Linked DNA regions of Arabidopsis thaliana. The protein of the gene in region 1 interacts with the protein of each later gene in a biochemical or structural test. Each region holds a gene or a part of one and is shown on either strand. Other genes may lie near its edges.

Region 1 (14,872 bases):
TTGTAAGAATAAAGAAATAGGTAAACACATTAATACATGACCCAAATTAGTAGATTAAATTGGAGTTTGATCGGAAAAATCTGATTATTAGAACATTATCATTTGTAATAGATGATAGACAAACGAATTCCAAAATACACAGACGTAAAACAGTAATTTTACTTATTTACGTTTGCGTATTAAATAAAACAGTAATTTTTATGATTACAATTGCTTGTTTTATGTTTTTTTTGGACAATAAGATAGCTGGATCGAAAACATATAATATGTGACAAAAGGATAAGACTTAACATTACCAAAACAAAAGAACCAAAATCAAAATTGAATACTTCTAGTTACGAATTAAAAAAAAATTGAGCATAAAATATGGATTTTTTAACGTATACTACAAAATACAAATATTGTGATGAAAGAGACCAACCAAACAAAACCAAGTTGACCCGGTTTGATTCGTTGGTATCTTGGTTATATGAGTGGTTCACCACAAACAAATTTAAAATACTTAACAGGCCCACCAAATTGGCTAGATAGCCCATTAAGTTTCACTCTGTGTAGAACAAATGTCCCCAGTTGTTCAACTAAAAACAACTTATTGGGCCTAAAATGGGCCTTTTAAATTGAAGTAGACGGTTGGTGCAGAAGACTATGATTGATTTAATTTTTGAGTCACTTTTTCAATCATTTCCGATTTTGTATGATTTATTCATGATGATGACCACGACCGCCGTTTCAATCATTGGTCTAAAACTCTAAACATTTCAAAATTCTCTAGTTTTTAAAAGAACGAAATAAAAAAGTTTGAAAAAAAAAGAAGAGAATAAAAAAAAAAAAAGTCAAGAGAAACGTTAAAACGCAGATTGAAACAAAACATAGAAAAACGCGAAACGCAGATCGTGGAAATGTGAGTTTTTGAAAAGTTAGCGTCAGAGAGAAGAAGGAAATGTATGTCGATACAGCTGGCTTATGACCCCACCATTTTTTTTTTACTCTGTCGATGTGAGGAATTGTGGTCCTAAATTAATTATTTTATTTTGTAAAAAAGTGAGTTTGTTGAATTTTTTATTTATAAAAGAATATTTTATGAATGTTTGTTCGCTGGATATATCTATTTGTCATTAATAACAACAAAAGGGTTAATTTTTTAATTTGCTTTCTAATAGTACTAGTTAAAACTACAGTTCTTTTTGCTATTATTGTTGGTGTATTTATGTTTTAGTTAGTAGCAGTATAACATGTCAAAAATAAAAAATTTAGTAGCAGTCTAAGATGTAAGTCATGTGACATCTACCTATAAGAATCAGAAACACTAGTATGAAACATAATTAAATATTCTATTTTGATTTATAACATTGTTAATTATAATTTTGTATTAAAATGGTGAATTATAAAATAAAAATTCTTTTACTAAACTTAGATTTTACTAAATTACAAATATATGATTAATAAATGGGAAAAATGTCATTTAATTCCCCAACTTTAAAAAAATGGTTATTTTATACATCAACTTCGTATGTGCCCGTTTAAAACATGAACTAAACGTTGACTAATTTTTAAAACATGATCTTTCGTTGACCAGGCCAGAATAGACATGCCGTTATCAGTCATTAACGGAACTTTTAACGTCTGTTATCATCCGTTAACTTTATTAGTCAAGTTTCAAATTGTGGTCATTTTAAACATCAACTTCTTATTTGGCCATTTAAAACATGAACTAAACGTTGACTACCATTTAAGACATGAAAAATTCGTTAACCAGGCCAAAATAGATATGTCTTTATCAGTAGAACCTAGAAATAATGACTGTTAATCTGTCCAAAACAACGTCGTTTGAGAATAATCGAAAGAACACAAAGATTTTTTCCATATAAAATCTCCATATCAAAAGTTTTAAGCAGAACCCAAGAACATAGTTTGATAAAGAGATAATCGCAGTGCCAGTAATTGGAAGCAAATAAAGGTGTTTTCGTTTATATATTTGTTTTAAATTTTAAAGGGAATCATGGAAGCAAATTGAAGACTCATTATAAGATTATTCGTCTTGTTTGAGCGGTTGTAGAAATAGATTTGGGGAACTGGGGTTTCATTTAGAATCTTTTGATTATTCTCAAAACAAAGTCGTTTTAGGGATACTAATAAAGTCGTTAACAAGTGATAATGAATTTTATAAGTTCTTTTAATGAATGATGACAACATGTTTATTTTGGCTTGGTCAACGAATTTCTCATGTTTTAAATGGTAGTCAACGCTTAGTTCATATTTAAAATAGTCACATATAAAGTCGGTGTTTAAAATGGCCACAATTTAAAACTTGACTAATAAAGTCGTTAACGGATGATAACGGATGTTAGAAGTTCCGTTAATGACTGATAACGGCATGTCTATTTTGGCCTGGTCAACGAATAATCATGTTTTAAAAGTTAGTCAACGTTTAGTTCATGTTTTAAACGGCCGCATACGAAGTTGATGTATAAAATAATCATTGTTTGAAAGTTGGGGGATTAATTGACATTTTTCCCATTAATAAATTGACTCTTAATGTTTAGATTAAGCTTAGAATTAACAAATCAACTGATAAGAGTTATAACAAGTTTAAGCTCTTCTTCTTCCTAAACTGAATATTATGCCAATATTTCAAATATTAGAAATAAAGGTTTTAAACTAAATGTAAATCTATGACATGACATAATCCTTTTATATTTTTGTAATAAACATAAGAATAATAGGATAGTGCAGAAAAAGCTGTGATTCCAATATAATTATGTGATTGATTGACTAAACAAAAATATGAAGTCTAAAGAATTATAAATTTCTGTAGTTATGAATCCCATCTATCATTGGTTGCTTATTAATTTATGAGAAAAATAAATTTTTATTGACAATCTTATTTGTTTTGTTTTTGGTAGTCTAATATTGAAGTACACATTTATTAAAGTAATAAAAATAAACCATTTTAAGGACACATACGAAAAAAGAAAAAAGAAAAAATAAACAGAGAGAATTGCGGAGTAAAATAAAAAGAAAAGAGAAGAAGGCAGAGACAGAGTGGTGGTCTTGTTCGTCTCCTTTCAAAACTTGCGGCGGCGGAAACTACGTTTCACGGCGGCGGTCTTAAGTTTCTTCCTTCTGAATCTTCTCTCTTAAAAAAAAAAAAAAAGTTCCCATTCGCTGTAATTGCAAACTGGCCAAGTACCCCACTTGCTTCTACTCTTGTCTTCAAAGGTTCTCTTTTTTTATTCCTTCCTTTTTTTTCACCAAATTAAACAAATGGGTTTGGTAGTTGCACAAGAGTAAAAACTAACCAAAGTAAAAAGTTTGATTCTTGTTGTTGTTGTTGCCGTTGTTGATTCTTAGTTAAGTAAGTAAAAAATTTTCGGTGAGTCTTAAGAAAGAGAGAGAGAGAGAGAGTTGTTGTCTGAAACGATGTCACTTTCTGTCGGCATTGTCTGCGTTCCGACACAAGACTTGATTTCTTCTTCTTGTTCTTCTTCTTACCCTTTTACCTTCAAGTTGTTCTAGAAGAAACTGCGGCGGTTTGATTTGATGTTTCCATTGCTCTCTGTTCCGTTTTCACACCAAGCTTTCTTGTTTCTGATTAGAAAAATAATTTGATTCCTTGAATCTGCCGATATAAGGAATTTTTTTCATTGAATGTGGAGAAAAAAAAGAATGTGGGGAATCACGTCATCGATTTTGTTGAATTTGTGTGATATTTAATCGCCGATGAAGTTGAGATTTTCTGGAGATCTGTCAAGGTTCTTTTAAAAAATACTTACTGCATGTTGATTGATTGATTTTTACAAAGTTGACACCTTTTCTTTTTTTACCTCTCAAGCTCCTCTGTTTGCTTTTAAAACTGTCTCTTCTGTTTTTTTTTTTTTCTTTTCGCCGACATTCTTGTTTTATTCTTTCTCTCCAGGGTTATCGCATGGTAGTAGAAGCTTGGAGCATCGGTGAGGAAAAGAGAAAGAGAGAGAGAAGGCAGTTTTGTTTTCCAAATGTCAGCAATTCTTGCAGCTGCCATTGGTGGTGCTGTAGGAGCTCTTGCATTGATTGCTTTGTTTGTTTTTCTCCTTTGGTTTTGTGTCTTTCGTCGTAAGAATCTGTCTAGAACTTCTGAGACTGGCTCTTCTGATCCATCTACTCAAGGTAAATCACAAATCCCATCAATTCTATTCCTCTCTCTCTCTCTCTATTGACTTTCTTGGATGATATCAAAATGATTTAGACTTTTTTTTCTTTTGTTATATGTTTGTGTGAGTTCAGAAGGAAGAAATGTTGCAATTGAGTTGTCAATGAGAGAAGCTAGAAGATTTGAAATGGAGGAACTTGCTCAAGCCACCAAGAGTTTTACCAATAAAAGTCTTATTGGTATTGGCAAATTCGGCGAGGTTTACAAAGGTTTGCTTCAAGATGGTGTTCTTGTAGCTATCAAGAAAAGACCTGGTTTGCCTACTCAAGAATTTGTTAACGAGGTTTCTATAATTAATCTTGTTCAAGTGTTTGCTTTTAGTCTTCTTAGACCAAGTGTATTGATTGAGAGGATATGGTTTATTTCTTCAGGTTCGTTATCTATCGTCTATCCATCACCGTAATCTCGTCACTCTTTTGGGGTTTTGCCAAGAAAGCAACACACAGTTTCTTGTCTACGAGTATGTTCCTAATGGAAGTGTTTCCAGTCACCTGTACGGTAACTCTCTGTCCTTAATGTTATTTTCATTTGGTATTTAATCAGTTTGAGAAATGAGTTTGGACGATGTAAGCATCGTTTAGGTCTTTTCCTCTGTTAGGTGCTGGTGGTAAAGTACCTGGTAATAGACTAGAGTTCAGACATAGGCTTGCAATATCTATAGGAGCAGCTAAAGGTAAATCCTCTACAAAATCCTCATTGAAGCCAGCTCTAGCTTGTGTCCTGATCTTGCATATACCCTTTTGTTATCTCTAGGCTTGGCACATCTTCACTCGTTGAGTCCTCGGTTGATACACAAGGACTTCAAAACCGCTAATGTTCTTGTGGATGAAAATTTCATTGCTAAGGTTGCGGATGCAGGAGTCCGTAACTTCTTAGGAAGAGAGGATGTTGGTACATCGTCTCACATTGTTGCAGACCAGATTTTCCTCTCCCCAGAGTAAATTAAAAAGATTTCACCTTCTAAGCTCTCATATGCTTCTTTTTAGTATCAAAGTTTCTCAGATTGTCCCCTTTTTTTTTCAGGGTTCAAGAGTTCAAAAGATTTTCAGAGAAAAGTGATGTCTATGCTTTTGGTGTATTCCTCTTGGAATTAGTAAGTGGAAGAGAAGCATCAGAACCATCCCCTTCAAGCTCAACGCAAACTCTAGTCGATTGGGTATGTAATCACACTCAAAACCGTGCCAATGTAATCTATTTTGATTCTCATTTTGTATGCATTGGGAGTTGCAGATGCAAAACTTAACGGATTACGCAGATATACCAATGATGATTGATGAGAGACTAGGAGGTACATACACAGCAGAAGGAGTTGAGGAACTTATTACATTGACACTAAGATGTGTTGATGTATCAAGTGAGAAGAGACCAACAATGAGTTTTGTTGTGACAGAGCTTGAAAGAATATTGGATAAAGAAGTGAGCTTAACAACAGTAATGGGTGAAGGTACTCCAACTGTTACTCTTGGAAGTCAGCTTTTTAAAGCAACCAAGTGATTATTATAAAGGAACCATCTTTTTACATATATATACATATATATATATATATTATATAAGTTCTCTGAGACAAGAACCAATCAGAGAACTTAAGGAGGAAGAAGAAGAAGACTGATCAGCTGTTTTGTGTTAAGTGTATAAAGAACAGCTGAAGCTTATTGTTTGTTTGTTTTTTCCCTCCTTTTTCACTTCCTTTGGAGGTTATTATTTTCAGCAATTATTTTTTTGACAATGAGTGCAGAAAAGTATAACTTTGTAAAAACATTATTTATTGATATAAAGGAAGCAAAGAGTGGAATGTTGTGTGATTCTTTGTTACATTTTACTCTCTACAAAAGCTTTGAACTTAGCTTGAAAGACTTTATTGCCAAGTTGGTTGGTTGAATAAGTTTTGATGAAAAGATTCCAATTGGCTAACTGTTGAACTAACAGAAGGTGATAACTCCCTGTCTGAAGAACTCTAATTATTATGTTTGTACAGAAAAACTCAGAGCTACTTTTTCCTATAAAGTAGCCAATTTTGGGAAAGATTTTGACCTTTAGCTTCAACCTACCTATGCTTTGATAGCCTTTATTGCCAAAGGGGAGATATAGTAACCAAGTTGGTCTCTAAAGTCTTGATCAAAGATTCCAATTGGATAACAACACTCTTGGTCTTGGACTAGTATAGTTCCTACATACTCCATTTGCTACTAGTGAAAATAAACTCAATGCTCTGATTTATTACTCTGTCCCTAGTTTTGCTAAAAAACCTTTGTGGGCACACAGAACTATAAACAAACAGTCTTTGGAACAGATTGCAAAATCAAAATCATGTTTGGTCTGATTTTATGTCGGGAGAGATTGAAGATCTAATGATAAAGACTCTTCTTCTGTAGATAGTTAACTCGTTAAATTGGTGGGTCTCACATTTATTATTACCTTCCAGATTTTGACCTCACAGAAGCAAAAACACAGTAGTGATTGAAAAGCTTAGAAAAGAAATTACAAAACCAGAGATTGTTGATTCTTAGTTCATACATAGAAGAAAGAAACAGAGCTAATGTTTTGTCATAAATACTAAAAACCGTTAAAAGTATATTTTTAAAATGAGAAAAAATGTGAGCCATTCGATTTTTGGATAGACCCATCATGTAAAGGTTTAAGCTTTTTTTTTGTTAGCCAAAGAGAAAGCCTTTTTAGTTCTATTGACAATGGCGACGAAGCTGATTTCTCCGCCGTTGTCTTGTCCGTGGGTTACTTCAAGAGAGGTGATAATCAAAGGGCTTCCACGGCGGAGAAGAGAATGGATGGTCACGAAGAGAAACAGAGTCTCTGCTGTCACGGCCATGATTGTGGAGCCACTTTCTGTTGTTTCTTCTTCAGCAATTCAGATTCATCAATGGTGGGAACAAAACCCTAATTCGTTACTGTTAATGACGGAGGCTACTGGTGGTTATTCGTTGGCTAGCTATTATACGTCTTTGGGTTTGTTTGTTATCTCTGTTCCTGGTCTTTGGTCTCTAATCAAACGCTCTGTTAAATCAAAGGTTCGAACTTTACTAATTACAAAACCCTAAATTTCACTTCCAATTCCCAATTTCTTCGATTTTGAAAAAGCTTGAATGCAATGTTGAGGATTTGTAGATAGTGAGAAAGACGTTTGTTGTTAATGACGTCAAGAAGGAGCCAAAGCAAGTAGCTGGAGAGATTCTATCTTTCTTCACAAGGAAGAATTTCAATATCACTGATCGTGGAGAAACAATCACGTAAGCTACAAAAAGCTCGAACTTTTCATTTGGGTTTCTGTGTTTTGTTACTGACATTGTTTTGATAAAAAGATTTGAAGGAAAGATGGTTCCAAGTAGAGGACAAGCTGCTCTGCTTACGTTTTGTACATGTATAAGCTTAGCAAGTGTTGGTCTTGTCTTAACCATTACAGTTCCTGATTTTGGAAACAATTGGTTCTTCATCATTCTCCTTAGTCCACTCGCGTAAGCTCTCTCTCTTTAAGGTCTCTGAGACTGTTTTTTTGTCAATGAAATGGTGATTATTTTGTATGTGTGTGTGTGTTGCAGAGGAGTGTATTACTGGAAAAAGGCGTCGAGGAAAGAGGAGATAAAAGTGAAGATGATGGTGGGATCAAAAGGGAGATTGGATGAGATTGTGGTTCAAGGAGATGATGTTCAGGTCGAAGAAATGAGGAAAGAGCTTCAGCTTAATGAGAAAGGCATGGTTTATGTCAAAGGTCTCTTTGAGAGATCATCATAATGATAACATTTTAGCCTCCCATTTTTGCCTTTTGGGGAATGTGTCTATACTTGTTTTATTAAGGTTGAGATTAATGACTTTTTAACTCATTTCCCATACTTCATACTAAACGAATCGATTTGAATATAGTTCATTTGATTGAGCAATTTTGTTATTTTGAAAGTCCAAATCCATTTTTTCATTACCAAAGACAACAATAAAGCCACAAATTTACTAAGAATTAGTAAGTATGGTCTTCCTGAGTGATCGGCTAGTCCATGATTCCCAAAGCCAAGGTTGTTCAGTACTATATGCCATCAATGATGAGTTCGAATTATATGTACATATGAAATGGGAGATATGGATACTTCGATGCCATTGAGAACAACTCAAAAATCTTGGTGATCGAGACTTGAAATAATGACAGCATTAAGTGTACATCTAAAATGTGTTTTGGAACTTTTCGAGATCCTTCAGATGCTCGAGGTTTGACACATTTTCTTGAACACATGATGTTCAAAGGATCAAAGCTATATCTTGACCGGAGTGAGGTATAATGATTACAACAATAGTAGAGACGAATACGTGGAGATAAGTATAAGTTTGTTATGGAGGCTAATAAGAGGTTAAAACACGATTGAAAAAAAGAAAAAAGAATCATGAGAATAAGACTTGATCAAACATAATACATTCTATGAAAGGTAAAACACCAAGATGTAGAGTTGGCAAAAAGAAACTAGAAAAAGAAAGTGGAACTTGTTTTTTTTTTAATATTAAATTATATATTTTTTAATATTAAATTATATATTGACAACATATAACTTTTTGTTAATATTAAATTATAGAATTTATTTTCATCTTTATTTGAAATGTTAATTATATATTGAAAACATAAAAATAGTTACATTATTTGAGTATTTTATTATATAAATCTTGGTTTTCAAAGTTAGTAACTCGTATGATCTTGATCAGATGATGCACAAACTTTGTAGACATCATGGTTAACCTAACATAAATTTATCTAAGTTAATCAAAAGAATCTTACAAATTAAAAAATGATTAGGTCGAGGTGAAGAGAACAAATTACCACATAGTGTTGTAATTAGACGGACATATATGTTTAAGTTAATAATGGGCTTTACCTCTATTTGGGTTGAGCTCAACCTTACTCGATTAACAAAAAATCTGAAGGTCGCGTGTTTGATCTACGCTCACCGCACCATTTGTTAAGAATAAGAAACGTAATCTCTATTTCTTAACTTCCGATACACCGTTTCACAAAAGATTGAGCCACCGGCACATCACCGATTCATAACTCTCTCTCACAAGCGACACATACGTTACTAAACATTCATCAAACAATGCATAAAACTAATTACAAGTCTAATCTCAGTATTTATATACAATTGTTTCTTAATTTTTCTTCTTTCTTCTCTTCACTCACGTGATCAATACTAAACTTTGACTCTCTCTTGTTACGACCACAAATTTTTGACGTATCGAAATGGTTGTCAGTCTAATAAAAAACCGTAAATAAAATCTAGTAAAATCTCTGTTAAATTAATAGTGTTGGAATCAAAATATTTTGATTTATAGTGATAAGTTATCTCTAAATGAATATTTATTATTTTATGATATAAATGAATTGTTAATTTGTAGAGACATTTTTTTATTTTTTTATTAATATACGTATATCACCTTGAATAATTAATACAAAGATACTTAAATGATACTGTGTTTATATAAAAAAAAAAAAAAATCATTAGCAATCATTCGATTCGGCTTGCAATAATCTAAATGGACCATTTTATCACTTCTCCAACAAGCAACTCTACAGTGTTTAATTTTAAATTAAGAATTTAATTATCTATATCGTCTCTTCTTTAGTTAGGAAGTGGATAAGATAAAGTCTAATCCAAATTAAATCATTAATACAAATAAAGTTAAGACAAATATTTAATTTAAATAAATAATCAGAAGAAGAGTGATGATAGTGATTCTTCACGCGCCTCTCTCTCTTCTTCGTCCTCTACAAAAACACTTGTCTCTCTTCTACACATTGTTCTTCACGAACCTCTCTGTATCATCTTCATCTTCTTCTCCCGTAAAGCTCTCGCGTCTATGGCGGTCAAATGTTTCTCTCTTTATCTGATTCTGGCGGCGATTGTAATCGGCGGCGTCACCTCCGAGTACATAGAGTACAACACAAAACCGAGAATCGTCCCTGAGAAAATCAATGTTCACTTAGTTCCTCACTCACACGACGATGTAGGTTGGCTTAAGACCGTTGATCAGTACTACGTAGGCTCCAATAACTCCATTAGGGTACTCTCCCTCTTCACACATCTCTCTCTCTGTCTCTTTCCATGGATTCTTTAGGGATTTGATTTTTGTTCTCAATTTGATTTGAATCAGGGAGCTTGTGTTCAGAATGTATTGGATTCTGTAATCGCTTCATTGCTTGATGATGAAAATAGAAAGTTTATTTATGTTGAAATGGTAAGATTCAGATATTACCAAATCCGGAGTTTTCTTTTGTCTTGCTTGATGAAATTAGTATTGTTCTTAGGCTTTCTTTCAAAGATGGTGGAGGCAACAAAGCAATGCTAAGAAAGTTAAAGTCAAGAAGCTTGTTGACTCTGGTCAACTTGAGTTCATGTGAGTTTGATTGATCTCTTACCTTTTTTGTTTTGATGACTTGTGTGTATCTGTTTGTGTTGATATGTGGTTTTTGTAGAAATGGTGGAATGTGTATGCATGATGAGGCAACTCCACATTATATTGACATGATTGATCAGACTACATTAGGCCATCAGTTTATTAAAACTGAGTTTGGTCAGGTTCCTAGAGTTGGTTGGCAGATTGATCCCTTTGGACATTCTGCAGTACAAGCTTACCTGCTTGGTGCTGAGGTATAATTTGTTCATCGTTTTTGTTCCTTTCGTTTCATAGTGAGTTTAGATGAGTTCAGTATGTGAATGATTAGCTTATATCAGCTCTAAGTTATTTTGATCGGACAACCCTTTGGTTTCTTCTACAGTTTGGCTTTGATTCGCTGTTTTTCGCTAGAATTGACTACCAAGATCGTGCAAAGAGGTTAAGAGAGAAGACACTTGAGGTTATTTGGCAAGGTTCCAAGTCTCTTGGCTCTTCTTCACAGGTTTAAACCGTTAAACCTCACATTATAATTCTGCTGTTTCCATAGCTGGCTTTGTCTCATTGCTATTTGATGTTACTTGTAGATATTTACTGGTGTATTCCCAAGACATTATGACCCTCCTGAAGGGTTCACGTTTGAAATAAATGATGTATCAGCTCCTATCCAGGTAAAAGCAATTGAACCGGCTGTGCTGTTTTTGAACTTTGTTTGAACGTGCACTGATGAATCATCTTGAATATAGGATGATCCTCTCCTTTTTGACTACAATGTTCAAGAAAGAGTCAACGACTTTGTAGCAGCAGCCCTCGCACAGGTAAAGATCATATCCATTTTTTCTTGAAATTAGCTAATAGAAAAGAAGCTTTGCTGTGATGTGACTTGGATTTCTCTTTTCAAGGTTAATGTGACCAGGACAAATCATATAATGTGGTTAATGGGAACTGACTTCCGTTACCAGTATGCATATTCGTGGTTCAGACAGATAGACAAGTTTATTCATTATGTTAACAAGGTACACTGGATTTTCATACTAGCATACTCATATCAATTGAATTTCACTAGTCTCAAGGTAAGAGAAATACCAATCTTGATTCTCTTGTTCTTTGGACAATCCAGGATGGGCGTCTCAATGTTCTGTATTCGACACCATCTATCTACACCGATGCAAAATATGCTGCAAACGAGTCCTGGCCCCTAAAGACTGATGATTTCTTCCCGTGAGTTTGATAGCTCGGGTTTTACTTTCTACAAATGCAAAATGCATGTTGATCAAATAAATAATACATGTACCTGTGTCAGGTATGCGGACAAACCTAATGCATACTGGACAGGGTACTTTACGAGCAGGCCAGCCTTTAAGAAATACGTGAGGGATTTAAGTGGTTACTATCTGGTATGGCCTACAATTATTTTATATAAATTTCATAGATTTGTGGTTTATATTTTGCTCTTTTCTTACACGGCCTTATCTGTTTTCAAACAGGCAGCTCGACAATTGGAATTCTTGAGAGGAAGGGATAGTTCAGGACCAACAACTGATATGCTAGCCGATGCTTTGGCAATTGCTCAACACCATGATGCAGTTAGTGGTACACAAAGACAACATGTGGCTGCAGATTATGCTCTTAGACTCTCAATGGGCTACCTGCAGGTGATTTTTAGTTAGGCATCTCATGTGTTGTTCATGCAATTTTTGTGTTTCTTGTTGGCATAGCAGTTTAAGAATTTCTCCATGATCATTACTAGGCCGAGAAATTGGTTGCCTCTTCCCTTTCCTTTCTATCAGCAGCAAAATCAAGTACTGAAAAGAAGAATCCTGGCACAAAATTTCAGCAGGTAATGTGCTTTAAGATTTTGCAGGATTCCAATATTACTGGTCGTGTTGGAAGAGTTGAAAAGACATTGATATCGAATTTGAGTGGTTATTAATATCGCTTCCGCAAATGATGCTGTTGCTTAAGGCAACAAAGAAGTTTTAGTAAGCTGCTTTGTAGCATTTTCATGACTTGAATGACTCAAGTTCCCAAAACTTATCATAATCTATGTTAAGCTGATTCTTATCTTGTGCATTATATTCATATTGGCAGTGTCCCCTGCTTAATATTAGTTACTGTCCTGCATCTGAAGCTCGTCTGTTGAGCGGGAAAAGCCTGGTAAGTCTAGCAGACAGGCTTCCTTTGAGTCTATGAAGCCTTGGACCTCTTGGTTAGTTTTTATCTTCTGTTCACATTGATCTCTCCTTGTAGGTGGTTGTTGTTTACAATTCTCTAGGATGGAAACGAGAAGAAGTTGTCCGAGTTCCTGTAAGTATTTTCTTATCTACTTGGTTGACCAGTGTAGTTCTCACTTTATCTTTGTTTGTTATCCAATATTATTTACCAAATCTACCTGATAACTTCTTTAGGTGTCGTCTGAAAATGTTATTGTGAAAGATGCATCTGGGAAAGAAGTCGTGTTTCAGCTTCTACCTCTTTCAGAAATCGCTTTGAGAATTAGAAATGAGTATGTCAAAGCGTATCTGGGAAGATCACCACGGGATACTGCAAAACACGTGCTTGCATTTACAGCTTCAGTACCACCTCTTGGGTTCAGCTCGTATGTAATCTCAGACACTGGACGAACAGGTATGTTTCAGAATATGTAATATTGTGTCATAACATTATTATGAGTTATAGGATCTTGAATACAATTGCATATGTTTTAGCTCTACTAGCCGCAACTTCCTTACTGATACCAACGGATGTTATGTATTTAATTACATCTTCGTTTTCTAATTTGATTAAGCGCGTGGACTATCTGCATCATATGTTACTTCTGGAAGCATGAATCAAAATGTAGAAGTTGGCCAGGGAAATCTAAAGTTACGCTATTCAGAAGAAGGAGTTAAAATAACTCGTCACTTAAGTACCAAAAATCAGGTGTGCCTGTGTTTTTTATATCTTAACTTACCTATTTTTCCATTCGGATATGTAAACATCATCTGATGTTGATTTTTGGTGGATTTTAAGGTTACTGCAGAACAGTCATATGCTTATTATATTGGAAGCAATGGAACTGACAAGGATCCTCAGGTAGCTCAGCTCTTTAACAGATACAACCTTATCTACTTAGCTATCATTTTGATGTGTGTCTGAACCATTCTCATATACTTTTATAAGGCTTCTGGAGCTTACGTTTTTCGACCAGATGGTGTGCTTCCAATTAAATCTAAAGAAGAGGTAATACATATAAGCTGCATCTATAACCTTATTTCCCGACAGTATGTGAAAACACAAAAGAAAAACTAATTGTCTAGCCTGACTCAGGCTCAATTGACTATTGTTCAAGGACCTTTGTTCGATGAAGTGCACCAGGAGCTTAACTCCTGGATATCACAGGTTATAAACTCTTTGCAACTAGTTAATGCTCTTAAACAGTTTAATTACATCACAGAAGCTATAACTGTTTGATCCATCTTGTGATGGGTCTGTTAATTTGCAGATTACCAGAGTGTACAAGGGAAAAAACCATGCTGAAATTGAGTTCACAGTGAGTTGATCTCTTTTCACAATTCTTCATGTTAAACTGATGAAGAGAAATTTCAGTATTTTAATTTCCTACTTTCTAGATTGGGCCTATACCAGCTGATGATGGTATTAGCAAAGAGATTATCACTAAACTTACAACCACCATGAAGACAAATGGAACATTTTACACAGACTCGAATGGCCGTGACTTCATCAAGCGGGTATTAGATGCAAAATTCATGTGAAGTAGTTTATTTTTATTTTTGTAACAAGGGGTATTTTGTTTTTATTGTAACATACTTTGTTACATTTTCTTGCAGATTCGGGACTTCAGAACAGATTGGGACTTGCAAGTGTACCAACCGGTTGCTGGGAACTATTATCCTGTAAGGCATCAAACCCATCTGAGATTCCTTCTCGTGGTGTACTAAGGTCTTGTACTAGACTGAGCTGCACTATATCTGGCCTTTTGTCTAATATATATATTTTCTTCCAGCTAAATCTCGGGATATACATGCAAGATAAAACCTCAGAGCTATCCGTGTTGGTGGATCGAGCTGTAGGTGGATCCAGCTTAGAGAACGGCCAGATCGAGTTGATGCTTCATCGGTTTGTCAACTAACTTTCTCTATATAACCAAGACAAGCATATGTTGTTTTGCTTGTATTTCACCTTTTTTTCATTCATGTAGGAGAATGCAGCATGATGACATTAGAGGTGTTGGTGAGATTCTTAATGAAACAGTCTGTCTCCCTGAAGGATGCAAAGGATTAACGGTAAGCTTAAGTTCTCATC
Region 2 (17,239 bases), on another chromosome or scaffold:
AAATTACGGATTTACGTTTCTGGCGGGAAAATTACGGGTTTAAGTTTTTGGCAGGAAAATCTCGGGTATACGTTTTTGGCGGGAAAATCACGGATTTACGTTTTTGGCGAGAAAATCACGGATTTACGTTTTTGGCGGGAAAATCACGGGTTTACGTTTTTGGCGGGAAAATCACGGGTTTTCGTTTTTTGGCGAGAAAATTACGAGTTTACGTTTTTGGCGGGAAAATCACGGGATTTACATTTTTGGCGGGAAAATTACGGGTTTACGTTTTTGGCGGGGAAATTATGGATTTACGTTTTTGGCGGGAAAATCTCGGGTTTACGTTTTTGGTGGGAAAATTACGGGTTTACGTTTTTGGCGAGAAAATTATGGATTTACGTTTTTGGCGGGAAAATCTCGGGTTTACGTTTTTGGCGGGAAAATCTCGGGTTTACGTTTTTGGCGGGAAAATCTCGTGTTTACGTTTTTGGCGGGAAAATCTCGGGTTTACGTTTTTTGCGAGAAAATCACGGGTTTACTTTTTTTTGCGGGAAAATCACGGATTTATGTTTTTTGGTGGAAAAATTACGAGTTTACTTTTTCTCAATTTCATTGCTTGTATATTTAAGAAATTTGGAAAAATATTAATTTTATTAAATTGGTTTAGATGTGTTGGTTAAACCTAAATTGGCATTGGTTTAGAGATTTTAGTTGGTTTTATTCAATTTTACAAAATTTGATGGGTTAATTGGATAAACCATGGAAACCATTAACCATTACAACCTAACTCATTTTACTCATCAAACCAATTGACTCATCAACTCATTTGACTCATCAACTCATTTGAGTCAAAAATTTCAACTCATTAGGGTTCATGGGTTGAGTTGAGTTGAGTTGACCCATGAATTTTGACCCATTTTGACACCCCTACATATGATCATAAGTTAATAATCAAAAATTACTATTGATAACTTTTTAACGGAATTGTTTTGTAAGTTTCATTTACGTTATTTATATAAAAAAACATAATGCAAAAGTACTAATGTATAGTTATTTTTATTTTTAATAATGCAAAAATATTACTGTAATACTTTTTCATTCTTATCAATATTTTTTCTTATATTCAATTAGCCACCAACACCTACATTTCATATTTCTCTTCACATTCATTATTTTCTTGCTCTTGTATTCCTTCTTATCATCTTCATTGCCAATTTTTCATTGACATTGTCATCGTTACTTTGTATGTATGATTTTTGAACATTTAATGTGAATCCCAACCGACTATAGGACTATCAAGAAGTTTTCAAACTTTTTAAAAAAGATCTTGAACCTTTAAAGCAAATCCCAACCGACTATAGAACCATAGTCCTCTTCCTTGTTGATGAAGCTCTTCTCGTGCCGGCGAAAATCTAGGCCATAAAAGCCTCTTCAACATCACCTAGTATATTGACCGTGACCATCTTTTTGACCATTGCTTTGTGAATGAACCGTCGATAAACCGTGTTATCACTTACGCCAAATTTTTCCCTAGTGTTTGTTTCCAAACTCTCACGAATCCTTATCGAACTTTTTTATATATCACTTTGTAGCATTGGAAAGTATCTTTGTATGCTTTGTCTTAAACTTAGACATCCTTGTTCTCTTGGTTTTTTTGAACCTTGCTTGACTTAAATGAAGTTAAAAATTTGTAGTTAAAAATAGAAAATTTTACTAATTTGAGTTCGATTAATCATAGTCTAGATAATTTGAAAAAAATTAAAATAAATTTTGAAAATACTATATGTTTATTTTTTAAAAATAATTTACTAAATTGATAAGTGATATTAGATTAGTTTTTTTTTTCTTTTTTAAATTTTGAAAACCTCACAATTATTAAATTGAAAGATTCAAAATGCAATGTTAGTTTTTAAAAGTTTAATCACCCAAACGGATAATTGACCCGAACGACTAATTCAGGTCGTATACGGGTACAGTCAAATAACCCGACCCGAAATGCTCAACGGATCTGCACGGACGTTCGCATCGACGATTCACGGCTTTCGCGAATCGCATCACGAGCCTTCCTTCTCTCCTACGCCTCTTTCATCAACCCTTCTCTGCGAATCCAATTCTGGTATTTCACGATTCTCTTTCGACTACGCCCAATCGCAATTCCAGCCGTACGAATTTTATATATTGATTATGATCTTGATCCTTACCTTTTCGTCGTTTCCTTGATCGAATTTATGTTGATTTATGCTGCGAAATCAAAATTATGGATACAGAGTAATTTTGTATATATGGATGTGTAGGAGCTAAAATTAGCAAACAATACGTAAAGTAATTGAAATCGAAATCATAAACGTTTAAGGAAAGAGGTTTTTACTAAGTCTCTGAATAATCTGATTGATAGCTTGTGGTCAATGGATCAGATAAAAGTTTGTAAAGAATGACAAAGAAAATGAGAAGAGTGGGCAAGTACGAGGTTGGTCGCACAATAGGTGAAGGAACCTTTGCTAAGGTTAAGTTTGCGAGGAACACAGACACTGGTGATAATGTAGCCATCAAAATTATGGCTAAGAGTACAATACTTAAGAACAGAATGGTTGATCAGGTATGTTCTGGATTGTTTTTTACATGGAAACTAAGGTTGTTGCGTCAATGGTATGATCTTTGATTTCGTTTAAAGCTCTTTTACAGATAAAAAGAGAGATATCTATAATGAAGATTGTTCGTCACCCGAACATAGTGAGGTTGTATGAGGTATGTTTGTTTGTTTCCATGCATCTGCGAAATTTTATCTCTGAAGTGTTTTTGCATCATTGTTCTTCTGTTGTTTTTTTGTGATTTTCCCGATGTAGGTGTTGGCGAGTCCTTCGAAAATATATATAGTTTTGGAGTTTGTGACAGGAGGAGAGCTCTTTGATAGAATTGTACGGAACTTCCATACTTGTAGGCAGCGTCCATTAGTTAAAACCTCTCTACTTAATTTTTTAATATATGAAATCTTTCATGCAGGTTCATAAAGGGAGGCTTGAAGAAAGTGAGTCTCGGAAATACTTTCAACAGCTTGTAGATGCTGTTGCTCATTGTCACTGCAAGGGTGTTTACCACCGTGACCTAAAGGTAAAGACGTGTTTTTGTTTACCAATATTCCTCAGAATATCTCACTGCGTTGCAATCCAGACTTGATATTTTTGTGTCGCTATGTTATGTTATCTAGCCAGAAAATCTTTTACTCGATACAAATGGAAATCTGAAGGTTTCGGATTTCGGACTCAGTGCATTGCCTCAGGAAGTAAGTGCTCTTATCTCTGCTTCAGCAGTCTGCTTACGTGGTCATTAACTTGTTATATACTCAATCAGGGAGTAGAACTTCTGCGTACCACATGTGGAACTCCGAACTATGTAGCTCCAGAGGTACTTAGTGGACAGGGTTACGATGGTTCAGCAGCTGATATTTGGTCTTGCGGGGTTATTCTTTTCGTTATATTGGCTGGATATTTACCTTTTTCCGAGACGGATCTTCCAGGGTTGTACAGAAAAGTAAGTAACATATCTTTCGGGAAGAAATCATGAATTCCTTGTCATGGCTTTTGTCAAACCGTTTATTGATTTGGTTTTGCAATTTCACCCTTAGTTTTGAGCTTTTACACATTGTTATTTACAGATAAATGCAGCAGAGTTTTCTTGTCCACCGTGGTTTTCCGCAGAAGTGAAGTTTTTAATACATAGGATACTTGACCCCAATCCCAAAACAGTGAGTATTTTGCTTTGTTCTCTCCTAGCTATCAGGTTTTGGTGATATTTAATGTTCTAGTAATTATATCTGTTTATCTATTATTGTTTCTCAATTAGAGCAGCGTATTCAAATTCAAGGAATCAAGAAAGATCCTTGGTTCAGATTAAATTATGTGCCTATACGAGCAAGGGAAGAAGAAGAAGTGAATTTGGATGATATTCGTGCAGTTTTTGATGGAATTGAGGTTTGTGCTTCGCCTTCATTATATGCTCTTTGCTGGTCAATTCCATTTAAATGTTAAGATCTCTTAGGAACGTTTGGATGACCAAGAAGAAGTGTTTGCTACAGGATAGAACAAAATAGTAGGCATGTGTTAGTTACCAAACCTGTAAACTGCTTCTTTATTCAATTCGCCAAACCATAGACCTTAGGAAGACTTAGATTTACAAGAGAATTCTCTATTCTCGACCAAAAACCCTAGACAAAATCCAGAATACCCCTAGGGCTAATTACAATGTTCATGTACCTATCAATATATATCTCCTGCTAAGATTGTCTTAGCTTTGGTATAGCCTAGATATATATAGATACCGTAATTTCTAATGCATATTTAGAATGTTTTACTTAAACTCAGGCTCTTGCTCTTCTAAAACTTGTACTTCAATTGTTAAACTAAAACCTCAGTATCTGTCTTAGCTAAAGTTACTTTTACTTGTTTTTCATTAAGTTGACCTGTCAATTGCACTTGTTCACAGGGCAGTTATGTAGCGGAGAATGTAGAGAGAAATGATGAAGGGCCCCTGATGATGAATGCCTTTGAGATGATTACCTTATCACAAGGCTTAAATTTATCTGCACTATTTGACAGGCGACAGGTAGTACCTGATTTTCTATTACTGGTCATAGAGATCTCCATTTCGAATAAAAGAATGTCGGTAGCATCTATTCTTCAGACTGCCCGTTTTGACTGCCTTATGATGCTGTGTTCTTAGTTTGTTATAATAACTATAAGTTCATTAGATGATTGGTTGCATGGCATTAGTAGATACAAATGGAATCCAAAATGTTCCTGCATATTGATGGCTGATCCTTTGATCTCGCAGGATTTTGTTAAAAGGCAAACCCGTTTTGTTTCTCGAAGGGAACCTAGTGAGATAATTGCTAACATTGAGGCTGTAGCGAACTCAATGGGTTTTAAGTCTCATACACGAAACTTCAAGGTAACGAATTCCTAGCATATTACACTTATCACAGAGATTATGCATTATTTTAAAACTCTCAACTGTTAAACGCATGTGTAGATAGATTGATAAGATTGACAAGGAAACTTAGTTTATATCTCTGGCGTTCAAAAACGAAAGTCCTAGTGTGAATTATCATTTTTAATGTTAGCAGAGAGTACAATTGTTATGATTTGTTACGTCTATGTGCTCAACAGACAAGGCTCGAGGGATTATCTTCGATCAAGGCCGGACAGTTAGCTGTTGTGATAGAGGTAATTATTGCTTGTTGTGATTGTAATATAAGTTTGCTTTGCTTCAGTTTAAGGGTATCTAGCAAATTGAAATTAACCTACATGCAGATTTACGAGGTGGCACCATCGCTTTTCATGGTAGACGTAAGAAAGGCTGCTGGTGAAACTCTTGAATATCACAAGGTTTATAAATATATATCCAATAACAATAGTTGCATCATTACTGTGTTGCGGATTAGAGTGATATTTTGTTTTGTGGTATCGCAGTTCTACAAGAAGCTATGTTCGAAACTGGAAAACATAATATGGAGGGCAACAGAAGGAATACCAAAGTCAGAGATTCTCAGAACAATCACGTTTTGATCCCAACTTAAATCCAATAAAAATGTACACTTGTGTAATAAATGACCTAATTATTCTTCAGGGAGATTGGAAGATTTGCTTCTTGAGCTAGTATTCTAATTTGATTGTGTCTTGTAGTTTGCTTTGGCCATTGGTTTGGATCCCTCTGTTCTCTGTGTATGGCAATACTTCTCAAAACTTGTCCTGCGAAGACATGTACTAACAAAACACATCCAATATGAGTTTGCTTACTAGACTACATGAGCTTTATGCCTTTATTTAGTCAAGACTATACGAGTTTAAGCTAGGCAGAGCATTTGGTTTGGATTCTTTCGATAGGGTTTTGTCGGGTTTTTTTTTGGGATTAGAGAAATTCTACCCAAATTAATTAAACTAAATTATGGTTCTTTTTGGTTATATTTTACTATATAAACCTTGATTTTTAAAGTCGCTAACTCATATGATCATGATACATGTAATATCATTTCATAACACAAACATCAATTCATACATAACACAAGTCTCAATCTAATACTCAAATTAATATCGTTATTTTTGTTGGTGTCGAATCTCGAACTATGTGTTCGGATCCATCCGAAGCTTGCCACCTAAAAGTCAACAAGACAACGGTCAACGGGACATGCTCTCGACCGAAGCCCATAGTTGAAGCCGAGCGAACCGAAGAGTTTGTACAACGGAGCGAAAAGGAGATGAGTTTGAGAATGGGTAACGGGCCGAGCATTCGGAGGCCCATGAAGGGTTCAAAGGAATTCAAATGAAGACGTTACAACATTGATTAGAGAATCAAAGCGAACACTTTTAAGAGCGCTTAGTACATTAATTAACAAATTAATGTAAATTATAAATATGAGTCCCTTAAAGCATAAGGGGGTACATTGATTTCTTTCTAAATATCTAATATTATACTATTTTATCTTCATATCTTTGCATGCATTTTGATAATATATACAAAGTACAGTATATACACTTGTATTATTTTTTTAAAAACTAGATGAACATACATGCATGGGTTTTTGTTTTTAAAATTGTTGGAAAAAATTTTGGTTATGGTTTTTTGTTGATTTTGATATTCATTTTTTTTTTTCCTTCTAAAACCTTTATTAGTGACGAGTGTCATAATCATTGTTTACAAGAGACATCAAAAATACAGGACAAGAATGATACAAAAGACCAGAGATTTGGACCTAAAATAGCTTTTTTCGCTAATAGATCGGCACAGGCATTTTGTTCACGATGGGTGAAACAGAATTTCGAGTTTATGAAACCACTTCTCCAATGTTGTATTGTCCCCATGTAGTGTTTGAGTCGAAGATGAGCACCGTACGTATTAATAACTTGGTTGATGGTTTTATTATCCCCTTCGAATATTACGTTTCGGTATCCTAATCCCCACGCAGCCTGTATTGCCCAGATAAGTGATGTACATTCAGCTTCTTCTATCGTATTTCGTCCTTCAAATTGTCCCATACCACAGTCCAACACAAAGCCATTGGAATCACGAATTATCCAACCAAGTCCTGAGGCTCCAGCTCCTTCATGATGCGACGCATCATAATTACATTTCACCCATCCCCTAGGTGGTGGTAGCCAGTTATCTCTTCTTGTTCTCTGTGTGTGAGGAGCCGGAATTGTGTTCACTTGTTTAATGACATTCTCAATCCACTCCTGAGTGTCCGTTGTTGCCAGTTCGAGCGTCTCCCGTGCCGGAATAAGCTTTTTGTTGAATATTAGATCATTACGGCATTTCCATAATCTCCACATAATCCAAAAAGGGAGGTACCTGTGTAATTCATCGACATTCCTATCGTCGTGAATCCTAAAGAGGTACCTTAATTTGTCTTCCAGGGGTGTTTGCGAGTTACATGGTATGGTGGTGTCTAGGCAAGTGGTCCTCCATACCGCTTCCGCATGCGGACAGGAAAAAAAGATGTGATTCCCTGTTTCAGCTTCCGTGCAACAGTGTGCACGGTATGGATTGATGATGATGTTCCGTCGCCTTAGGTTATCGGCAACCCCGAGAGCAAGCGAAGCTGTCCTCCACAAGAAATGCTTCAATTTGGGGACAATGTTTAGTTTCCATAAACGGTCGGCAATATCAGGGTGTGAAGATAGCGGCAGAGTGATAGGTGGCTCACTTGTGCTCTTTGTTGCTGCTACCCAATATCCTGATTTGACAGTGTAGCAGCAATCCTTTGTAAAGCTCCACACATATGAGTCATGTGCTGGTATAAGGGGTACATATATTTTCCGGATAATTGGATGGTCAATCGGATCGATTAGTGCGGTGAGTTTCTGTTCATCTCATTGAGATGTAGTCGGACAGAGTAAAGCCAAAACCGTTGTTTTCGGGTCCGTCGTTGCTAATAACAGAGGTGGCCGGGGTAGAGTGGTTGGTAGTCACGGCTCATTGCCCACTTGGGTTGTGTAACCATCTCCAATGTTCTTCTGTGTCCCGAGATTCAACAATTCACATCCAAACCGAAGGGAACTCCATCCATAAGACGGTCTCGTGCCTCGTGACGCACTAAGGAAATTCCCATGTCGAAAGTATCTGGCTTTAAGCATTCTATAGAGCAGACTTTGTGGTCTTTGTAGCAGTTTCCATACCTGGCTTGCAAGTAGTGCTTGGTTGAATTGGTACAGGTCTCGGAATCCTAAACCCCCTTCTCTCTTTGGTCTTGTCATTTTTTTCCAGGAAACCCATGACAGTTTCTTTTTTGTTGCCGTAGTGCCCCACCAAAATCTCGTTATCATACTATTGAGGTCGGAGCAAAGTTCCATTGGGAGCGCAAATACATTCATCGAGTAGACCGGCATCGCAAAAGCTACTGATTTAATGAGGGTCTCTTTCCCTGCAGCAGTGAGAAACTTATTTTGCCAACCATTTATTTTCTTACGGACAGATTCGGAAATGTATTGGAGCATTTCTTTTTTCTTTCGACCAAATTGCTTGGGAAGTCCCAAATATTTTCCCCCGCCCCCAATATTTGGTATTTGTAGAGTCTGCATTGCATGATCCCTTGTTTTTTGGTAGACACGACTCCCAAATGTTATTGATGATTTATCAAAGTTTATAATCTGACCTGACGCTTCCCCATACTCTTTAAAAATGTTAAGAAGATTGAGGCTATTTTTGCGATCCGCTTTTAGGAAAAATAGAGAATCATCAGCGAAGAGTAAATGGGATATGGAGGGACCACCATTACTAACTTGGATTCCTATTATTTTCCCCGTCTGTTGTGCGTTAGTCATCATGGAACTTAAGACATCGGAGCATAGTATGAAGAGGTATGGTGATAGAGGATCTCCTTGTCGCAGACCTCGGGAAGGTGAAAACTTCCCGTATGGACTTCCATTGATCAATACCGAGAAGGAAACAGAACGGACACAATCCATGATCCATTGGATCCAGCGAGTTGCAAATCCCTTTTTTTTTAGAACTTCTTCCAAGAAACTCCATTCGATCCGATCGTACGCCTTACTAATATCTGTTTTGACCGCCATATACTCGTTTGCACATCGTTTCTTAACTCGTAGTGAATGGAAAACCTCATGGGCGATGAACACATTGTCAGTTATATGACGTCCAGGTATGAAAGCAGCTTGATTTTCAGAGACAACCGACGAGAGAACTGCTTTTAACCTCTGTACCAATATTTTGGAGATTATCTTGTAGAGAACATTGCATAAACTGATTGGTCGAAAGTCCTTCATTGTCTTTGGGTGTTCGATCTTTGGTATTAAACAGAGGTTTGTATGATTCCATGGAGTTTCCATCTGTCCCGTTTCAAAGATTTTTTTCACTTCTTTCGTTATCTCAGGGCCAACAATATCCCAATATTGACGATAAAAAGATACTGTGAACCCGTATGGTCCCGGAGCTCTGGTTGCCCCAATTGCAAACAAGGCAGAACGTATTTCCTTTGTAGTAATATCCGTCAACAGAAGCTCGTTTGTAGCAGGTGACACCACCAGTTGGATATGTTGCAGAATTGCTGTCAAGTCTCGATGATTAGAACTACTAAACAGTTCCCCAAAATATTTCTCAGCTTTAGCCGCGATGTTTCCATTACCATAGATGTCGCTACCATCTGAATCTTGGATTGAGAGTAGACGATTTCGAGCTATGCGGTTCTTTGTAGAAGCATGGAAAAAACGGGTGTTAATGTCTCCTTCATTAAGCCATTGTATTCGGCTTTTCAGTTTCCAATACATTTCTTCTTCACGATAGGAAAGTAGTAGTTCCCTTCTGAGATTACGGAGATGATCATTTGAAACAGAGAAGTCAGTGCTTGCGTTATCAATGGTCACAGTCAGCTCCGCCATCCGTTTAGCAGAATTTGTGTTGTTTGTTCTCTTCCAACTTGATATATGAGATCTGCAGTTTCGGATTCGTTCTACAACAGAGCATCTAGAAGCGGGTATATGGTTCCAACCATATTCGACAATCGACTCAAACTCAGGTCTGTTACACAATCTGGAGTCAAAACGAAAGCAGCGTGTACCTTGTTCTGTTGTTTTGCGGATCTTAATGATAGCAGGTCGATGGTCTGAATCAATTAACTCCAAGTACTCAACCTCAGAAGCAGGGACACTTGTTTTCCATTGATCATTGGCCATTGCTCTATCAAGCCAGCATTCCAAATAATGAGTTTTCCTTTTGCCAACCCAAGTCATATTGTTTCCTGTGAATGGAAGATCTGATACTTTGCATGTGTTAACCATATTTCGAAAATCCACAAAACTCCAATTTTGACGAACACGACCACCCCTTTTTTCACTGGCATCGAGTATTTCATTGAAGTCCCCACACATTAACCAAGGCCCTTGTCTATGTATTGTGATTCTCTCAATTCTTTCCCATAGAATATGTCTTAACTTTCTGATCGAATGGCCATAGGCACAAGAGAAACAAAAAGAAGCTTCTTTATTACTTATCTTACAATCAATGAGTCTTGCATCAAACGAAAAGAAATTAACTGATACAGACTTCTTCCACATCAAAGCTAAACCACCGCCTATGCCCAAAGGCGACACACACTTCACATTATCATAATCCAACTGAGCTGCCACATCCCGAACAACGTCATCCGGATTCTTTGTCTCAATCAAAGAGAGTAAGTCCGGGGAATAAGATTTCTTAATCCCTTTGAGGCGTCGAACTACCAGGGACCCTTTTAAGCCCCGGTAGTTCCAAAACGCTGTATTCATGGCGGCTCCGGTGGCTTCTGGCCCACCGTGCCCTCTCGGTAAGTGTGTGGGGTGGTTGAAGTGGTTCTCCCATTGTTGTTGCGTACTGTACCCGATATTTTATGTGGTGCCATGAACCAGTTCCAGACTTCTAGCACTTCTGATTCTCTCCTCTGTCTTTTGGCAACGCAGTGTTGGGTATCCTCTGTTGCATAGGCTTGGCGCATATCACAACACACCAAAGGAAAGCTATAGTCGGTCTGAGAAGTAGAAGCGTTGGTTTTCCTCTTTTTGGAAGCATTATGGTGCTCTTCTTCAGTGTTCTCATCGGGAAATTGCTGATTCATTGGATCGTGTGGCAGATTGGGATGGACATCTGGTACATCGGGATGGTCATCATCAGCATCATTATCAACATCGTCATCATCATCACCAGGCTGAGGAGGATCCTGATTTCCAGAGGTTGGACATTTAGCAGCATCATGATTCAACATTCCACATGTGGTACAGAAATTCCTGAGTTTCTCATATCAAAACTTCAAGACACATGTCTCTTCTCTAAACTGGAAAATCCTCTGAAAGCGTAACGGGTCCTCGATGTTCCAGAGGATTATGACCCGTACGTAGTCTGTGAGGACCACGCCATCTCTACCAAAGTCTGTCTCAAGGAACAATCCCATACGCTCACCAATTGAAATGATCATTTTCAAGGTGAGGAATCGAAGTGGGATTCCTCTGATCTGAATCCAGAAAGGGATTCTTTTGAATTCAACAACCGTATGCAAAGCAGTCCATCGTTGAATGACACACATCCAATCGTTGAAAGACCAAGGCCCTCGCCGGAGAATTGAGGACATGGATTCTTCAGATTGGAAAAGGAATTGAATTTTTTGATTCTCCAGAATTCTGCCTACCACCTCTTCACCTACGCCCCAGAGGCGAGGCAAAGCACTCAGCATTGCCCGAAGATTTTGTTTCCTTGGGTTCACCGGTTTTGCAATGAAACTAAATTGAGTTTCCTGAAGAGCCTCATCACAAATTTTAATCGGGAGATTGATTGCTTCCTCTTGTATTCCTAACGCAATATCTTGCAGTTGTCGTTGGAGATTATCTGCCATTGTCAATATGAACAAAGGAATTTGTGTACTTTCACTCTGATCAACCCAACGAGAACAGAGACATGCGCAGGGTATAAATAGGTTTGGTTGAGAAGCAGTTATGGGGTCCACAACCGTTCTACCGTTATTCATCCCTGAAGTAACCGCCGGAAACTGGCGAAGAAAACTCTCGGCGAGCGAGAGACAGCCGTAGGAATCGAAGAGATGCAATCGTTCGTCGTATCGCCTCTCTTCTCTCATTTGATTTTGATTTAGAGAGAGAGAGATTTTTCTTGATATTCATTTTTTGTGTGTATTATTATGTAATTAATAATTTTATATCTATTTTATATAATTATAATTTTTTATTTTTTTTAGAATGAGGGAGACTAGTCTCCCATATTATTAAAAAACAAAATAAAAAAATTACACACGAACATTCCGTGGGCGCGTAGCACTACTAGCATCCTCAAAAATAATCGAAGTAGCAAAATCAGGCCTAAGGGGAAAACTATGAAACCCCAAAGGTAACAAAAAAGCATGGTTTGCTAATTCATCTGCGAGACGATTAGCTTCCCTATACACATGAGTAATTCGGACAATCTAGTCCTTCGAAATGAAGCCATAACATAAACGTACTAGGAAAGACAGAGAATGCGAATCGCTAATCCATGTTTTAAGAAAACCCACCACCATATCTGAATCCACTTCCAGCTACACCCGCGTAGCCTTTTTCTCCCAAGCTATGAAAAGCCCGTAATACACACCTCATAACTTAACTAAAGGAGCCGAACAAACTCCGAGATTCCCGCAAAACCACCACACCAAATACCCTCATTATCCCGTAAAACACCACCAGCTATTGCTAAACCCGGATTTCCACGTGATGCGCCATCCGTGTTTAACTTCAGCCAACCATCTCCTGGCGGAACTCATGCTATTTGTCTCTCCACCCTAGTTACATTACCTCGATTACTCCCAAGCAGCGAGTGAGCCTCCACCACCTCTTTCGCTGAATCCTTTAGGAAACGAACTCTATCTCGACATTTCCTATTCTCCCCAAACACATTTCTGCAGCGCCGTTTCCAACCCCACCATGCTGCCAAAGCGAATAAAGTAGCCCACGGATAACCTCCGACAAGTTCTTGTTCTCCCAAATTACTGTATACCCATTCAAGCAATGATTGTGTAAAGAACACATATAACCGCCTAGGGGGAAGCAAGCGACTCCAAATGCTTGCCATCGCCTGACAATCTCTCAAGACATGTAAAATAGTCTCTTCGCCACTCTTACATACTTGACATAAATTTGTGTCACAAATATTTCTTCTCTTTCTTTCCACATTGGTCATAATATCTTGGTTAACCACTAACCAGAGAAAAATCCTCACACGTTCTTGTACCACAACTCTCTAGACTCGCTCAAACATCCTCCATGATTGTTGACGTGGTACTTCATCTCTCGTAAGGATTGAGTGTGCTGACCTCACGGTGAAGCGACCATCTGGACTATCACTCCAAGATAAGCGATCTCGAGCACCTGTCACAACATCTACCACAACAGTAGACAACATCAATCTTATAGATTCTGGAATATATGGCAATACTTTTGATAGGTCCATTGTATCAAGCCAATTGTTTCTAGAAGTTTGAAGAAGTTGGACGAAATCTTGAAAATAATAATAATTGTTGTTAGACAAAGGAAGAAGAGGGAAGATTAGAGAATTATATAACTTGATCTGTCTAAATCTTATTGACATTTACCTTCGTTTGCGTGAGCATGATGAGCAACATTCTACAAATTGTTCATCATCTTGCAATAATATTTGTGTTGCAAGAACTAAAGGTGTTTTGTAAGAACTAAAGGTGTTTTGAAAGATTTAAAGGTGTTTTGAAAGATTTAAGTGTGATGATATGATTTTCTTGCATAGGTTGGCGTATTATTTATACCCATTAGGGTAACACGTTCTCTCGTATAGAGATGATGAGGTCTCTTTCATCTTTTTCAGATGGATAATACGTCAAAAGTTGTTGGTTATTACATGTATTAAACACATCATCCGCACTAATGTGAGCAAGTTATTCACACTTACCTTTTGTTTTTTTGGTGGGGGTAAATTCTTACAAATTAACTTGATGGAATGAAAAAATAATTTCTACCTACTATATTTTATATATACAAGATAAACTTAAAAAAAAAAAAAATTGTACATACTTAATTGCATGATTGACCATTAGGCATTTAGCCTTGACGAAAAGAAAGAACAAAACAAAAACAAGTAATAATATTTTTCCATTAGCAATAAAACAATCATACTGCATGTTTTCGTAGCTACATATCTCTGACTCTGTTCTCAATAAGCTCCCAACCACTTATCTGTCCAAAAACGAATATTAGAACCATCGCCAATCACCCATCCTAAACCTGGTAGGATTACTTCACGTAAACCAGCCCCTACACTACGCCATGTGGAAGACCAATTGCTTTTTACCACTGTCCACGACTTATCATGTGGATCTCCAACCTTATATTTGCTTCTCAAAACCTTTGCCCAAAGGCTGTCCTTATCCTGTAAAAGTCGCCATCCAACTTTTGACAATAATGCTTTATTCATAGATTTTTCTGACCGAATACCTAATCCTCCTTCCATCTTTGGTCTGCAAACTCTTTTCCAAGCTAGTAGATGTTGCTTCCTTTGTCCTGTATGACTTCTCCACACAAAATCTCTTGACACTCTATCCAAACTTTTAGTTATAGCCCCCGGTAATGCAATCGTACTCATCGAATGGACTGGAATAGATGCTAGCACCGATCTGGTGAGAGTGACTCTGCCTGCCATACTCAAAAATCTCCCTTTCCATCCCACTAACCTTAATGAGATCTTCTCTAACACATCTCCATAGGTGTCTTTATTAATCCGCTTATGGAGAATGGGCATTCCTAGATACTTTCCCAACTCTCTCGTCGCTTGAATACCACTTTCATCACTCATCAACTTAACCAAGTCTCGATGCACATTATCTGAAAAAAAAAATTTCGATTTTTCCAGACTTACTTTCTGACTTGATACCACACAAAATCGCTGCAAGATTCTCTGGATTATCCTTATTTGTGCCATAGAGGCCTCAACAAATAGGATAAGATCATCTACAAAGCACATGTGCAATATTTTTGGTCCCCCCTCGATAGGCTTATTGGTTTCCATTCTTTCTTAGCAATAGAGACATCAATAAGCTGACATAACCGTTCCATACACATAATAAGTATGAAGACAAAGGATCACCTTGGCGGAGTCCTCTTGAAGGCTTAAAAGGCTCCGTCTTTTCACCGTTCCACAAAACGCTCATTGAAGGACCCTTTACACATTGCATTATCCAAGTAATCCATTTCACCGGAAGACATGATGCCTCTAGAGTATCCTCCAGAAAATCCTATCTCATTCTAAGCTTTCTCCAAATCAAGCTTCAAGAGCATCCAGCCCGTGAGCCCTTTCTTTGTCTCATCGAATGAACAGCTTCTTGAACAACCACTATATTATAAGTGCTTAATCTGCGTGGTATAAAGCTAGACTGCGCTGGACCAATCAGTTTTAGCATCACTTTCTTTAATCTCATCACCATGGCCTTAGTGATCACCTTAAACAACACATTACATAGGCTTATCGGCCTAAACTGTGTTATCTTCTCCGGCTTTCCCACTTTGGGTATCAACACTACTAAGGCATAATTCATCTCGTCTACTAAAACCGAAGTCTCAAAGAAGTCCAACACAAACTTGACCACCGAAGGCTTATCGGCCTAAACTGTGTTATCTTCTCATACCGCGGACAGCTCCTTCCACTTATGCAGCTGAGAATTGTTTGTTCAACTCCCTTAAATCATCCCTTGATAGTCTCACAAATCCTTCATTAGGCAACTTATCCACCACCTCATCTATGTCTGCCATAAAGTAAAAGCGTTTGTAATAGTCTACTGCAAGCTTGTCAAGGTCATGTGCATTCACAACCCATCTATCCTCATTATCTTTTAACGCTTCTATTCGATTCCTGCATCTCCTAATAATGGTAGAAGTATGAAAATACTTCGTGTTCCGATCACCCAGCTCAACCCACTTCTCTCTCGATTTCTGGAACCAGAGCACTTCTTCCTACTCAAGGACCAAATCAAATTCCCTCATTAGCAAGTTTTGTTTTTCCAACAGAGTATCTGTCTAATTCACTTCTAACAGGTCTTGGACAACCTTGATTTCCTACTGTAACATATCTTTTCTCTTTTGCACATCTCCAAAAACATCACGATTCCACTGCTTCAGCTTTACCCGTAAGATTCCTAGGGCCTCTGGGTTCTCAACTCACCCTGCTAAGACGACACCAACAAATCTTTAAAACTGGTATGTGTTAGCCAGGTCGCCTCAAATCTGAAAGGATGTCAACTTGGATTTCCTCTTGTCACTGGACATAATTGCACATAAAGAGGTGCGTGATCTGACGGGGAGAAAGGGAGATGATTAACTACTGCTTCCTGCCATCTTAATCGCAAATGGGCTGAGCATAGAACTCTATCCAACCTCTGAGCAATGTAAGTCTGTTCTGCTCGACCTCTTCTCCATGTGTATTTGTTTCGTTTGAATCCCATATCGACAAGGCCAACTCGTTAATCCAGCTCCTAAACTCTAGAGAATCTAACGACAATTGACCATTACCACATGTTCGCTCATCCAACCTAACGATGGTGTTAAAATCTCCTCCAATACAACACTTGTCCATCAATTCTTTGGATAACCTCTCGAGGTTGACCCCATAGACCACTTCGTCGACTCGCCAAAGGAGCCGCGTATACTGCAATTAGGTTGAGCACATCGCCCTCATTCACCACCTTAACATGAATAAATTGCTTAGCCGATTCAACTATCTCCACCTCGCCTAGTCCCGATCTCCACATTAACCACAGTCCACCACTCTGATCCACTGCGTCTACTTGATAAGAATTCTCAAAGCCTAAGCCATGATAAATTCTTCTCGCCCTATCACCACCTGCGTGAGTTTCAAAAATAGCGAGAATGTTTGTGCTAAACTTCTTCAGAATATAACAAATCGACCTGCGGAAAGTGGGTTTATTGCCCCCCCCCCCCCCCCCCCCGGCAATTCCAGAATAGACAATTCATTGATAAATTCCAAAACAAGATTAGAACCCACCACCACCACCTTCTCCTCTAGATTCTCGAGCATGAGTACTCTGCCATTCGACCCAATACCATCTGGATCCGGTTGCGAAATCTGATCTCCTTCCACTCCATCACGATGCGTTTTGACCCTAACCATATGCTGTCCATTTTCACTCGTGAATCTACCTCCTAGTTTGCTCAAGCTCACCCCCTCGACTCTCAATCTTTTTCCCGAGAAGACCAAT

Evidence for each region.
Region 2: of the proteins of CCB1 (region 1) and SOS2, one has a biochemical effect on the other in vitro, tested with the Arabidopsis thaliana proteins (one study listed by BioGRID).

The regions. Positions count from the first base shown.
Region 1 is NC_003074.8:9,806,674-9,821,545, forward strand, and holds CCB1 (cofactor assembly of complex C), read left to right. Parts: upstream 1-6,549; 5' UTR 6,550-6,876; coding exon 6,877-7,212; intron 7,213-7,309; coding exon 7,310-7,431; intron 7,432-7,503; coding exon 7,504-7,656; intron 7,657-7,740; coding exon 7,741-7,933; 3' UTR 7,934-8,079; downstream 8,080-14,872. Other genes in the region: AT3G26700 (Protein kinase superfamily protein), read left to right, coding at 3,996-4,146, 4,264-4,472, 4,561-4,687, 4,788-4,862, 4,943-5,126, 5,213-5,345, 5,420-5,683; AT3G26720 (Glycosyl hydrolase family 38 protein), read left to right, coding at 10,034-10,237, 10,328-10,411, 10,482-10,570, 10,650-10,824, 10,953-11,072, 11,155-11,238, 11,314-11,385, 11,470-11,583 and 16 more. UniProt on the Arabidopsis thaliana protein: Required for the biogenesis and accumulation of native cytochrome b6 in the thylakoid membrane. Controls the conversion of apocytochrome b6 to holocytochrome b6. Required for covalent binding of the c-type heme to cytochrome b6.
Region 2 is NC_003076.8:13,632,520-13,649,758, forward strand, and holds SOS2 (Protein kinase superfamily protein), read left to right. Parts: upstream 1-1,879; 5' UTR 1,880-2,098; intron 2,099-2,396; 5' UTR 2,397-2,413; coding exon 2,414-2,578; intron 2,579-2,664; coding exon 2,665-2,727; intron 2,728-2,825; coding exon 2,826-2,897; intron 2,898-2,982; coding exon 2,983-3,090; intron 3,091-3,187; coding exon 3,188-3,262; intron 3,263-3,330; coding exon 3,331-3,510; intron 3,511-3,634; coding exon 3,635-3,724; intron 3,725-3,827; coding exon 3,828-3,950; intron 3,951-4,461; coding exon 4,462-4,581; intron 4,582-4,809; coding exon 4,810-4,926; coding exon of another isoform or gene 4,927-4,941; exon of another isoform or gene 4,942-5,144; coding exon 5,145-5,201; intron 5,202-5,288; coding exon 5,289-5,363; intron 5,364-5,447; coding exon 5,448-5,543; 3' UTR 5,544-5,856; downstream 5,857-17,239. UniProt on the Arabidopsis thaliana protein: Involved in the regulatory pathway for the control of intracellular Na(+) and K(+) homeostasis and salt tolerance.